Saccharomyces cerevisiae S288C: one gene and its partners. The protein of the gene in region 4 binds, or shares a complex with, the protein of the main gene of each other region. Each region holds a gene or a part of one and is shown on either strand. Other genes may lie near its edges.

Region 1 (2,614 bases), on a different chromosome or scaffold from region 4:
GGTCAAAAAGGGCACAAACTTCTTCACCTTCAGCGATCTGGGTCCCACTGAAGAAACACGCTTGAAATGGGAATACAAGAAGAACTATGAGCTGGCCACCAGGACGGAATTGACCGAAGCACAAAAGTTGCAGATCATTAGCGTCGCAGAAGGCATTTTTGATTGGAACTTCAACATCGTTGCAGAAATTGGAGAGTTGAATCGTCGCGAGTTAATGGGCAAGTTCAGCTTCAAGTGTATTACGTACTTGTACGAAGAATGGATGTTCAACAAGGATTCTGCTACTAGAAGAGCACTCCACACGGTCATGCTGCTGGTGCTTTCTATTATCGCGATCTGGGTTCTTTACTTCTTGGTAAAGAGTTTTCTTAGCATAGTATAACGTATAAAAAAAAAAGTCTAAATACAAACATAATATATACATGAAATAATATCAAAATATGAAGAATAGGGAAGGAAAAACAGCAGAGAAAAACATGTGAGAGGTTTTTACAGCCCTATTATCTACCCTGAGATAGCTTTCTTCTTTCTGCCTTCTCCCTCTTTCTTCTTTTCCGCAGTTTGTGTTTCTTCATCTTTTTTTTCCTCTTTCTCATCACTGAATCGAGTTGCATCACTATATTTGAACCGTTTAATGGCTCACTGACTGTGCCAGTGATCCTTGTTGCCGTAGCCGTCATCATCATCATTGTACTCAGCATGCCCTCTTGCATGGGAGGCATTGTAGTGTTAATTGCTGTTTGAAAGGTTCTGTTAAAGTAGGACCCGCAACTTGGTTTCTTAACCACCGTCCTAGTAATGCCCAGCCACCCAGGTCGCAATGCCCTTCCTAGCATGTTTATCTCGTTCTGGTGTCGTGTGTGCTCGTCTTGGCTGGAACTCAACCGCCTTTCGCTCTTGATATTATATTTGGCATTCACTTAAGTGTGCAGTATGGGGAAAGGGCTCTTTTTATCATGCGCTACGAAAAAGCGGCTCGAAGAAAATAATCCAAAGGAGTCTGACAAGAGACAATAGTAGATATTTGGTCAACTACTAAGGGCGGGCCTTTGGTTGTAGTTTTTTTACACTTTATAAGCGCAGAACACTGTAGATATTGCGAAGGTGGACTTAAAGTAGTTTGGCAAACTTGTACTTCCAGAACTATGACCGTGCTATATGCTCCTTCGGGTGCTACTCAGCTATATTTCCATCTGCTAAGGAAGTCGCCACACAACAGGCTAGTTGTCTCTCACCAAACACGTCGTCACCTCATGGGGTTCGTTAGGAACGCCCTTGGATTGGATCCTCCTCCCTCTCCAGAAGATCCTACTCCGGAGAACAGATTCCATCCATGGGATCAGTCTCCCTCAGTGGACTTGCGTGAAAGGGCCGCCAAGATTAGAACGCTAGCACACTGCCCTGTTACCGGCAAAGATATTAACTACACTTGTCCTCTGTCAGGAATTCCGACTCATCACTCACGAGAGGCTTGGGAGATGGATAAAGCATATCACGATTCTAAAAAATATGAAATCCTGAAAAAAGTTAATATTTATGAGCATGACTTAAGAAGCGGTAGACCCTTCCCGGAGTTTGATTTTCCCCAACAGCAAGGCTACGACAAGGCCGTTAACCTAACAAACTGGGATTTGTTTTTCTACACAAGATCATTCTATTCCATGGATACAGAGTTCCAATTAGCCGCAGTCACAAAGATGCTAAGCTATCCAATTACGATTGGGTCTTTGCTGCACAAATTTTCCCCGTATTCATTGAACCCAAAGGGGCCTATCACCTTAGAAGGTCTAAAATCTCTGGCTGCTCTCAGGTATACTTTATATCCGTTGGAGAATAGATCTTTACCAACCACAACTAAGAACCGTGCTATGAGAATTTTCATCCTAGGTGCACGTGCTGAAGCTCAATTGCCGGGCCACGTTTGGAAACAGCTCCAGTTTCTTTTCCCAGAGCAGAGTTTCGAAATACATTTCATTGGACCCGAATGCCTGTATAAAAGGGATAAACAGGAGTACGTCAAGTCTACTACGCCGGTAGTACAAAGAGTAGACGAGACTCTGAAATTCATTTATCGTACAAACTTTTTCGAAGTATTCCATGAGGCTCAAGATTTTTTCCCATACGATCCATACATGGATGTCTTTTTTACTTTCCATCCAGGCTACGCATCTCCAGAATCTCACGGTTCATGGATGGGTGAAACTATGAAGGCATTACTGGAAACAAAATGTGCTATCTTCACAACGGGTTTCAATAAGAAAGACCTAACGGACGACATAAATCTTGTCAAATCCAAATACGGTAAGGAAATGGATGTCTTAATGGAGCCCGTCAGAAACGTATTTGGAAGTACGAAGTGGGAATTAAATGACATGAATCCTCAAGAAGTTTATCAATTTAACATGTATATTGCCGGGTTCAGAGGTAAAAGGTACCATACAATCAAGAGACAATGATTATCGGGAGGCCATGCCCAACTTTCATCTTATAAATATATGCGTTTTCTACCGTTATTATAATTTTTTTCTTATGTATGATATCTCAATATCTGTAAATACAAAAATACTAACCCCACCCCCTTCGTAATGGTTGACCTAATAGTCCATTAACTAAT
Region 2 (2,658 bases), on a different chromosome or scaffold from region 4:
AAGCTTTGGTCTTAACACTCAACAACAGAATGGACTTATCTTCTGCTGTGTTTGAAATGTGGTAGGTGGTATAGTCGAAATCGGAAACAATTCTGTCCATGGTCAACGGCGAACCCTTGCGAAGTGCCTCTATCGCTTCATTCAGTGTCTTTTGGATGAGAAGGTTTTGTGGTTGTAAGTGTAGCATTGCGGATTACCGTTTTGAGGCAAGAAGATTGCTAGTCTTGTATCTACACTAGTTCCTTTGAACGCTAGTTAGCCCCTATGCTTATAGTATTTCTTGTCAATACAAGCGTCTGAAAATTCAGATCGCTTTATACGAGTAAGTATGCCAAATACACCAAATATACCAAAGCATTGATTGCGTATACTGAGAATACATATATATATATATATATATATATATGTATGGTCATTGCTATTTACAAAAGGTTGTATGGAGTGGGAATATTAGAGAAAAGTAGTCGAGAGGCCAAAGAAAACTTAGAGCGTACTGCGCATCACGATTTACTTGGCTTCTTGGCTCCATATTTCGACCTCGAAGAAATCCTGTTTACCACACCACTCAGGTCACCAGCACCTCTGATAACATGGTACTTCACACCAGGCAAGTCCTGACAACGCCCACCTCTGACATATACAATCGAATGCTCTTGAGCATCGTGGCCCTCACCCGGTATATATGCAGATACCACGTTCCCGTTAGTCAAACGGACCCTGCACGCCTTTCTCTGCGCAGAATTCGGCTTCTTGGGCTTTAAAACCATTACACGTAATACGACACCCTTCCGCTGGGGACACTGATCCAGTTGTGGAGCTGTACTTATCTTCTTGCGTCTTGGAGGCCCGGAGCCTCTTTTAATCTGATTCAATGTCGCTTGCATTGTCGTAGTGGAGGAAAACAATCTCTGCGCCTGTCTCAAGGGCGTACACCATGTGTTGGACATAAACCTCGACAACATGGCTCTTGTTGGCCTGCTTCAATTCTGGTGTACCTGTAAGTTCTCCGTCTTTTCCCTGGTTATATGCGTTTTTTCTCCCCAAATCGTTTTGTCGCTCGGGTAAGACTGAAATGCTTTTAAAAGCACTATTACTGTTTATTATGCTATATATATATATATATACAGCCCGAGTCTGGCTTGATCTTATTTACATGATATATCATCTAGAAATCTATATACACTAGATCCCTCATTTGTTCTTGGTTTGAGTATAGCTGAAACGCTTCCTGGTAGGTGCGAACTCGCCCAGTTTGTGGCCCACCATATCTTCTGATATTTCAATAGGTACGTACTCCTTACCATTGTGTATTTGAAATTTCAGTCCCACGAACTGAGGAAGGATGGTGGCGGCCCTTGCGTTTGTTCTTATTGGAGTGCCCTTAGTCATGGCCTCCCTTATGGGTAATGGCACGATGTTGGGGCCCTTCCATACGGACCGCGATAAAAGTCTAGCTGCCGGTTGCATTTTATTTTTGGTGGACACTACTTCTGCCGATGCTGTACTGCTCTTGCAATGAACCTCACCGTTTTAAGTCATGGTTAGATTCTTACTAGGCGCTTCCAATTGCCATTTCTTGCTCAGCCATAACCGTGAATAGTGATCCAAACGCTAATGCCGGGTGATGCTTAAAATTTGAAAAATTATTGCAGATTTGTATTATATAGAAAGCATAACTGGCGATGAGATGTGCTCGAAACTGGACACCTTTACCATTGGTGACCGGTAGTGACAATGTTTGCATCGAGATTTGACCCTAGCCAATTGACTGCTCCTGCAGCTAGCGCACCAGAAGGAATCGTCGGAACTACTCCCCCGGCCATTGTGCCTTTAAAGAGGCAGGCTACTGAATCTGATAATGAAGAATATGGCTCTCACCAAGATTCTGATGAGAGTTCCAACTCTAGTTCAGAGGAAGACGAAGACCGTATGCAAGTAGATTATGGGGCTAGTGAAGAGGATTCGAGTGAAGTGGAAGAGGAAGAGAGTAAGCCAAGTACTCACAGCACAGTGCTATCGAGATTCAAGCAAACAGTATCATTGCAAGAAAGGCTAGGTGCATCTGATATTGCTGAGAGTAAGGAAGACGAAGGTATTGAAGACGAGGCGGCCTCAACTCACCAACTAAAACAGATTCCTCAACCTGAATTCGTCAAAAACCCAATGAATTTGAATACAAATTCATTACAGTTCAAATCTACGGGTTGGTTAAATACTGAGAAGATATATTATGATAATTCCTTGATCAAACCGTTCTCGGATTACGCAAATGAATTAGAAGCAAAACTACTGCAGAATATTTGCAAGAATTTCTCTACAAACACTTTTCCCATCCAATCGATCATCCTAGACTCCATATTACCGGTATTGAACTTCACGTTGAACGTATCTAAGAGAAACTTCACCAGAAGAATCGGTGATATTCTTGTAAATGCTGCTACCGGTTCAGGTAAAACTTTGGCTTACTCCATTCCTATTGTTCAAACCCTCTTCAAGAGACAAATTAACAGACTGCGTTGTATAATCATCGTCCCCACAAAACTATTGATAAACCAAGTTTATACTACGTTGACAAAGCTAACTCAAGGGACGTCGCTTATTGTGAGCATTGCCAAATTAGAAAATTCTTTGAAGGACGAACACAAAAAATTATCAAAT
Region 3 (3,689 bases), on a different chromosome or scaffold from region 4:
TTTAGTGATAAACTTTTGTAAACTCAGTAGTATATCCAGCCGACGAGCAATGCGATAACGGTGATGATAAGCAATGCTCTGGAACTCAGACTTTGCCCGTTACCTGCTGATGGCGCTCTTGCTGATTCTGCATCGTGGTTTCCAGACGGTTTTCTTTTCGGTAACACGGAGTGAAATATTTTGATCTTCTTGAAGACTATGTCATCTTTGTACTGCTCTTCCAGATTAGGCCAATCGGACAACAGCTCGCCATCCTCCACGTTTTGGTAAGCTGCCGGGATAGGAAGTGTAACGATCAAGAATTTGTCTCGTTTTTGGTCCATTTCATCGTCAGCGGTTGACTTGGGTAATCCAAGGAAAACAATTTGGACATTTACACTTTCATGAGCACCTATGATGGCCACATTGGGCCTCACACAATACTTTGTGGGAGCACTAGTCCTCACTTTAAATATAACTCTCTTTTCACCATCGTTCTCGAGCTTTATATACTCTGTTGATTGTTTATTAAGGGGAGCTGAAGTATTACATATTAGTAACCTGTTGCATCGCACCAAAAAAGGTAGCAAAGTTTCCCGCACACTAGCAATTCTCGTCAAACATACCCTTGAACACCAGCTTTTCTGGCACTATTCTCATTGTTTACTCGTCTGAACTAGTGCTTATATTATCTGTCGTCATACCACTGTTTGAGACCCCCATAGGTCTTATATAAGGTAATGCATCATTCTAAACGGGCGGCAAGCCATATTAAACTATCTATATAACTACAACAGTATTCATATACCTAGTGAGGAGGCCATTTGAAAGCGCATTTTACCTCAGTAGTCATCACCTTTCGAAACGACTTCCTTTTTGTGAGCATGCAACAAGATGGTGTGTTCGAATTGTGCAGTGTAGGATCCGGGGATATCGTTCAATGGTGGATAATCCTGTACTAAACCGTGTCTAACCAAGTTATTCAACGCAAATAAGTATTTCTCTTGGCCAAGTCTGTCTAGGTATCGGCGACAGAACGGTAAAGTCCCAAAGTTGCGGTCTATCGTTTTTAACAAGTTCTTGGCGCTGTCTAACGTGGGCATTACCTGATGGTCTTCAGCAGATCTGGCATAATGAGAAACTTCCCCACCGGCAGTAACATAACCTCTACCAGTAGAACCAAAAGTTTCAATGGCAAAGTGCTCACCTTCCTCCATTTTTGTAGTGTCCCCATTTTTGACGATGGGAACGGATTTACCGCCGTGGATACGATATGGTGCGATACTGTGGCCACATAGATTACGACAAGGTTTAACCTGGTAAGTCTCACCATTGATTTCCACTTCGTAGGATTCCATAACTTCTTGGATGGCTTCACCGATGTCGGTTAATCTCACATCGATACCCGCTTCTTTAATACCCGTGTAAGTAGCGTCCTTTACAGCGGCTAGCAGGTTATCGTATTGTGGATCAAAGGAAACAGTAAAGGCAGAATCAATGATGTTACCGTTTACCTGCACACCATAATCTACCTTCATCACGTCTTCGTATTTCAGAACGGTTTTGTCGCCTGCATTGGGTGTGAAATGTGCAGCACAATGGTTGAGAGAGAGACCCGTTGGAAACCCAATACCTTGAGATTTGGGATCCTCCATCGCTAATAAATTTTCGGCACCTGTATACTTTCTTGTAGTATTTTCGATCATGTCAGCGATATCCATTAACTTCATCCCAGGAACGATTCTGTCCTTGATGGCCCTTCTCACACGACGATGTATCTCAGCACCCTTTCTGACATCATTCCAATGTTCGGCCCTTTCCAGATCCCTTTTCAAATAACGTGATTCTTCATCCGTGGTTCTTTGCAGATTGAAATCTTGATGATAGTCCATCCACGCACCTTCTGGGTACTTTCCATCTGGAAACAGTAATTCAATCTTCTTCACATTGCTTTTCTTCTTCTTCTTTTTCTTGTTCTTCTTCTTTTTGCTTTCTACTGGGTCTGACTCGTCAGCTTTTGCCTGGTCTTGCTGTTCAACGCCTTCATTCTCCAAATTCAATTCTTTTAAATCAGAAGCAGGGGAATTTTCTATTTCAGCGTCTGTCATTTTTCAATACGGTAGAGCTTCTACAGTACTTGTTGATGTAAAAGCCCACTTATTAGCTTCTTGCTATGGCTTCCTTTCTTTTTTAAGTTCGCTTCTTTCCCAAGATTGAAAATAAAAAATAAGTGAGACCAGGTCATTAAAGGTCCCTTGAAGAGTAAAAAATCTGTCAAATATCACCCATAAGAGCATAACCATAATGTTGAAGAGCACGCTGAGGCTTTCAAGAATCTCTCTCAGAAGAGGTTTCACAACGATCGACTGTTTACGCCAACAAAATTCGGATATCGATAAAATCATACTAAATCCAATCAAATTAGCTCAGGGAAGCAACAGCGATCGTGGCCAAACCTCTAAAAGCAAAACTGATAATGCAGATATTTTATCAATGGAAATTCCAGTAGATATGATGCAATCTGCTGGGAGAATAAACAAGAGGGAGCTTCTATCCGAGGCGGAAATTGCTAGAAGTAGCGTGGAGAATGCACAAATGAGATTCAATTCTGGAAAATCTATAATCGTGAATAAGAACAACCCTGCAGAATCATTTAAGAGATTAAACAGGATCATGTTTGAGAACAATATTCCCGGAGATAAAAGAAGTCAACGGTTTTACATGAAGCCGGGGAAAGTGGCTGAATTGAAGAGATCTCAAAGGCATAGGAAGGAATTCATGATGGGCTTCAAGAGGTTGATTGAAATTGTTAAAGATGCCAAGAGGAAAGGATACTAATCGTACCATCAACTCTTGAATATTGTGAAATTTTCGCCATTGATTTCCGTCTTTGTAAATAGGTAATGCGTAACTATTTAGTTAAATTTTTGTATATTTTTTATTCTATGACTTCACTTATCCATTATTTCCATCGTCAAAAAAAGGAAATAAATACTGTTGCTCGAACGAACAGCAAGATAAAGTGGAAACGAAAAGTAAGCAGCTTCCTCAATATGCCGTCAAACGTACGTTCGGGAGTCTTAACTTTGCTCCATACAGCATGTGGAGCAGGCGTACTTGCAATGCCGTTTGCATTCAAGCCATTTGGGTTAATGCCTGGTCTGATAACGCTAACATTTTGCGGAATATGTTCCTTATGTGGGCTGCTATTACAGACTCGAATAGCGAAGTACGTACCTAAATCTGAGAACGCCTCGTTTGCTAAACTCACCCAACTAATCAATCCGTCAATAAGTGTAGTGTTCGATTTTGCCATTGCTGTTAAATGTTTTGGCGTTGGTGTATCTTACTTAATTATTGTTGGTGACTTAGTGCCACAGATAGTGCAGTCAATTTTTTATCGTAACGATGATAACATGAGTGGTTCGCAAGAGCATCACATGTTCTTAGACAGGCGTTTGTATATAACTCTGATCATAGTGTTTGTTATCTCCCCTTTATGCTTTAAAAGAAGTTTGAATTCTCTACGATATGCTTCTATGATTGCCATTGTTAGTGTCGCATATTTATCTGGTTTGATTATTTACCATTTTGTAAATCGGCATCAGCTAGAGAGAGGGCAAGTATATTTTATGGTACCTCACGGAGATTCTCAGTCTCATTCTCCCCTGACTACATTGCCAATTTTTGTGTTTGCTTACACTTGTCAC
Region 4 (4,217 bases):
GTAGGAGGGAGGAGTTCCGAACGAAATCCATAACCCCATATGAAGTAATAATTTAATTCCAAATTCAAATTAATTGAAACTTTTTATTTATATTAAAATAAATAAATATATTCTTCGACTATTTATATTAATATTATTATTATTATTATTATTAAAATGAATATTTATAGTTATAGTTATAATTATAATTATAGTTATAGTTATAGTTATAGTTATATAATAGGTGTTAACCTCGCGAGAAGGAGGAGTTCCGGAACCCAGCATGGGGGCCAATTAATTATATAATAAATAATTAATATTATTTATTATAATTATTATTTATAAAAAAAAAAAAATAAGTTTTAAATATATAACTATAGAGAAAAATTATATAATAAATTTTCCTTTATTTAATAAAAAGATTATAATCTTTATATATATTAACCATATATATATTTTTTATATATTATTATTAAATTTATAATTAAATATTATATTTATAAAATTTAAATTAAAATTTAAAATAGTCCGGCCCGCCCCCGCGGGGGGGGGCGGACCCCGAAGGAGTGAGGGACCCCCTCCCTAACCTAATGGGAGGGGGACCGAACCCCGAAGGAGTTTGGTTAAAGAAGATAAAGAATAAAAATTAAGAATATTATTTTATTTATTTTTTTTAATATTATATATTAAAATATAATAGAAAAAAGAGTATTATATATTAATATAAAATATATTAATATAAATAACTAACCGCCCCCGCGGGGGCGGTTTATATAATTTAATAATTAATATATTAATAATAATTATAATAGTCCGGCCCGCCCCCTGCGGGGCGGACCCCGAAGGAGTAATATATATATATATTTTTATTTAATTAACTATCAATAATAATTATTTATAATAATAAAATATAAATAGGATCCAAAAGTAGGATTAATTTATAATTTTATTTGATATTTATTTTTAATTAAATTATTATTATAATAATTATATAAAAAAATTAATTAATTAATATTTTTAATATAAATAAATTATAATTTTATTTTTATATAATTATATGATATTATATTATATTTTATTTATATATAATTATATATATATAAAAAGTAAATATTATTTTATATATTTATATATATATATATATTATTTATTTATTTATTTTATTTATTATATTTATTTTATTTCTCCTTTCGGGGTTCCGGCTCCCGTGGCCGGGCCCCGGAACTATTAATATATATATTAAATAAAGTTTAATTTAACTTTAATATTATATTTACCATTTTTATTAATATTAGAATTATTATATAAATTATGATTAGAAGGGATATAATTTAATTTATAATTATTATTAATATTACTTCATAAATATTTTTTATTATTAAAAGTACCATTTAATAAATTAAGTGTACTAGTTCTACCATTATTATTACTTAATCTACCTTTAAATTTAATAGATCAACCAACTAAATATTTATATATTAAAATATCTATAGGAATATTATCAATAGTTATATTATTATAAATATTATTAATATTACCAATATAATTATTATTATTATTATTATAATTATTATTATTATTAATATTATTATTATTATTTAATAAATTAATTATATTATTATATTTATTATTATTAATATTATTAATATTATTAATATAATTTATAGAAATATTATGATCATTTAATTTAGGCATAATATTATTTAATATACGTTGATAATTAGTTAAGATACCATTATTATATTTATCTATATCATTTAAACTAATATATTTACTAAAAATATCACTATTTAAATAAATATATGATAATTTAATAGGTTCAATAGTTACTTTTTTTTTATAATAATAACTTAAAATATTACATAAATTATTATTTATATTATTATTTATAATATTTATTAATTTATTTATTATATTTATATAATAATTATTATTATTATTATTATTATTATTATTAATATCATTATTATAATAATAAAATTTAATATTTAATTTATTTAAACTATGTTGATTAATAAGTTTACTTATAATAATTTTATTAATATTTATATTATTTAATTTTAAAGTTATTATTTTATATAATAATTTATTAATTAATTTATCATTTATAGTATTTATAATTTCTATATTTTTATTATAATTATAAATTTGTAGATTTCAATTATTTATATTATTTAAATGTTGTAATTTATTATTAATATTCCCCGCGGGACCAATCCGGTGAACAACCGGATTGGCGCCCGCGGGGTTTATATTATTATTATTTAATATTCTTTTTATATTATTTATTTTTTTATTATTTATATCTAATAATATATTCTTTAATAATAATTTCTTATTTATTAATGAATCTAATAGATTATTAATAATAATATTATTATTATTATTAAGTTTATTTATTATTGATAAAATTATATTTAATAATTTTAATTTCATTATTTTTTATTTTTACTTTTTATCTATTATATATACATATTAATATTAATATTAATATAAATAGAAATATATATATATATATAATATGCATCCTTATTATAATATTATTTATTATTATAAATAATAATATATTAGATATTTTTTGCAGTTATTAATAACATTATATTCTTTATAATAATAATATAAATCCCAAATAAAAAAAAATAATTATTATTAATAATTTATATATAAATAATTTATAAAATAAAATATTATAATTTTATATATAAAAATAAAAATATTATTAAAATAAAATATATCATAATATTATTAAAATATATATATAAATATATAAATATATATATATATATATAAATATAAAGAATTATTAATTATTTATAATTTTTAATATATTATTATTAATTAATAAAATAAAATCCCTTCTTAAGAATAAAAAGGGTCGGACCGGACTATTATATAAATAATATTATTAAAATAATAATTATTATTATTATTATTTTTATATATTTTATATTTATTAAAATTAATTAATTAATTAATTATTATTATTTATTTATTTATTTTATTTTTATAGGAATAATATTAAAATTATTATTATATATATGTATTATTACGGATGATGTAGGATTTGAACCTACGTAGCCAATAAAGACTAATGATAGCTCAAATATCACACTTTAAACCACTCAGTCAACCATCCTTAAGAGGAATATAAATATAAATATAAATATTAATATAAATATAAATATTAAATAAACTCCTTTCGGGGTTCCGGCTCCCGTGGCCGGGCCCCGGAACTATAAATATATTATATATATATATTATAAAAATCTTTAATATAATATTATATAATTATTAATATAAGAACTTTTAAACTTTTATTAATTTATTTTCTCCTTCGGGGTTCGGTCCCCCTCCCTAACGGGAGGGGGTCCCTCACTCCTTTCTTAAAATAAATTATTATTAATAATTATTATATAATAAGAATTAATATAATTAATATAATTAATTTTATAAATTATAATATTAAAATAATTATTATTATTATTATATAATTAATCATATATTTTTAATTTATTATATTTATTAATATAATATAAATTATTATTTAATATTTAATATTTAAATAATATAAACCCCGCGGGACCAATCCGGTGAACAACCGGATTGGCGCCCGCGGGGAATATTAATAAATTAAATATTTAAATAATTATAATTAAATATTATTAATGTATATATAAATTTATATATTATATAGATAGATAGATAGATTTATAATATATTTTATTATATTGTTATAATATATTATAATTTATTTATAAACCTAATTATTATATTAATTATATGAAAATTATAAATTATATATATTTTATTAAATATTAATAGTTCCGGGGCCCGGCCACGGGAGCCGGAACCCCGAAAGGAGATGTTCACTAATATTATATTAATATTAATATTAATATTATTAAATGAATAATACAATAAAAATTATATTGTGTTCAATTAAATATATTTAATATATTTATATATAAAGAATTTATTATTTATTAATAAATATTATCATAATATATATATTTCTTATTTATTAATAAATATTTTTATTATTAATAAATAATATATCTTATTATGGTAATTTATATTTATTTATATAAATGTTTATTATAACAATATTTATAAATTATTATTATTAATAATATAAAAAAAGTAATTATATATTATCCATTATTTATTTATTTATATATTAATATATTAAAAAAAAGGTATATTATATATTATTATTATTTTTTATTATAATTTATATA

Evidence for each region.
Region 1: VAR1 (region 4) and QRI5 share a complex: the UniProt entries of both Saccharomyces cerevisiae proteins name them as parts of the mitochondrial small ribosomal subunit.
Region 2: VAR1 (region 4) and MRPS12 share a complex: the UniProt entries of both Saccharomyces cerevisiae proteins name them as parts of the mitochondrial small ribosomal subunit.
Region 3: VAR1 (region 4) and MRP21 share a complex: the UniProt entries of both Saccharomyces cerevisiae proteins name them as parts of the mitochondrial small ribosomal subunit.

Annotation. Positions count from the first base shown.
Region 1 is NC_001144.5:550,492-553,105, reverse strand, and holds QRI5 (mitochondrial 37S ribosomal protein mS38 QRI5), read right to left. Parts: upstream 837-2,614; coding exon 501-836; downstream 1-500. Other genes in the region: HMX1 (Hmx1p), read left to right, coding at 1-382; MSS51 (Mss51p), read left to right, coding at 1,146-2,456. UniProt on the Saccharomyces cerevisiae protein: Component of the mitochondrial ribosome (mitoribosome), a dedicated translation machinery responsible for the synthesis of mitochondrial genome-encoded proteins, including at least some of the essential transmembrane subunits of the mitochondrial respiratory chain.
Region 2 is NC_001146.8:693,861-696,518, forward strand, and holds MRPS12 (mitochondrial 37S ribosomal protein uS12m MRPS12), read right to left. Parts: upstream 963-2,658; coding exon 501-962; downstream 1-500. Other genes in the region: ARC35 (Arc35p), read right to left, coding at 1-187; mitochondrial 37S ribosomal protein uS19m RSM19, read right to left, coding at 1,192-1,467; putative ATP-dependent RNA helicase DBP6, read left to right, coding at 1,735-2,658. UniProt on the Saccharomyces cerevisiae protein: Component of the mitochondrial ribosome (mitoribosome), a dedicated translation machinery responsible for the synthesis of mitochondrial genome-encoded proteins, including at least some of the essential transmembrane subunits of the mitochondrial respiratory chain.
Region 3 is NC_001134.8:46,542-50,230, forward strand, and holds MRP21 (mitochondrial 37S ribosomal protein bS21m MRP21), read left to right. Parts: upstream 1-2,283; coding exon 2,284-2,817; downstream 2,818-3,689. Other genes in the region: phospholipid metabolism-regulating protein SCS22, read right to left, coding at 24-517, 606-639; MAP2 (methionine aminopeptidase), read right to left, coding at 822-2,087; AVT5 (amino acid transporter), read left to right, coding at 3,033-3,689. UniProt on the Saccharomyces cerevisiae protein: Component of the mitochondrial ribosome (mitoribosome), a dedicated translation machinery responsible for the synthesis of mitochondrial genome-encoded proteins, including at least some of the essential transmembrane subunits of the mitochondrial respiratory chain.
Region 4 is NC_001224.1:47,099-51,315, reverse strand, and holds VAR1 (mitochondrial 37S ribosomal protein VAR1), read right to left. Parts: upstream 2,416-4,217; coding exon 1,219-2,415; downstream 1-1,218. UniProt on the Saccharomyces cerevisiae protein: Component of the mitochondrial ribosome (mitoribosome), a dedicated translation machinery responsible for the synthesis of mitochondrial genome-encoded proteins, including at least some of the essential transmembrane subunits of the mitochondrial respiratory chain.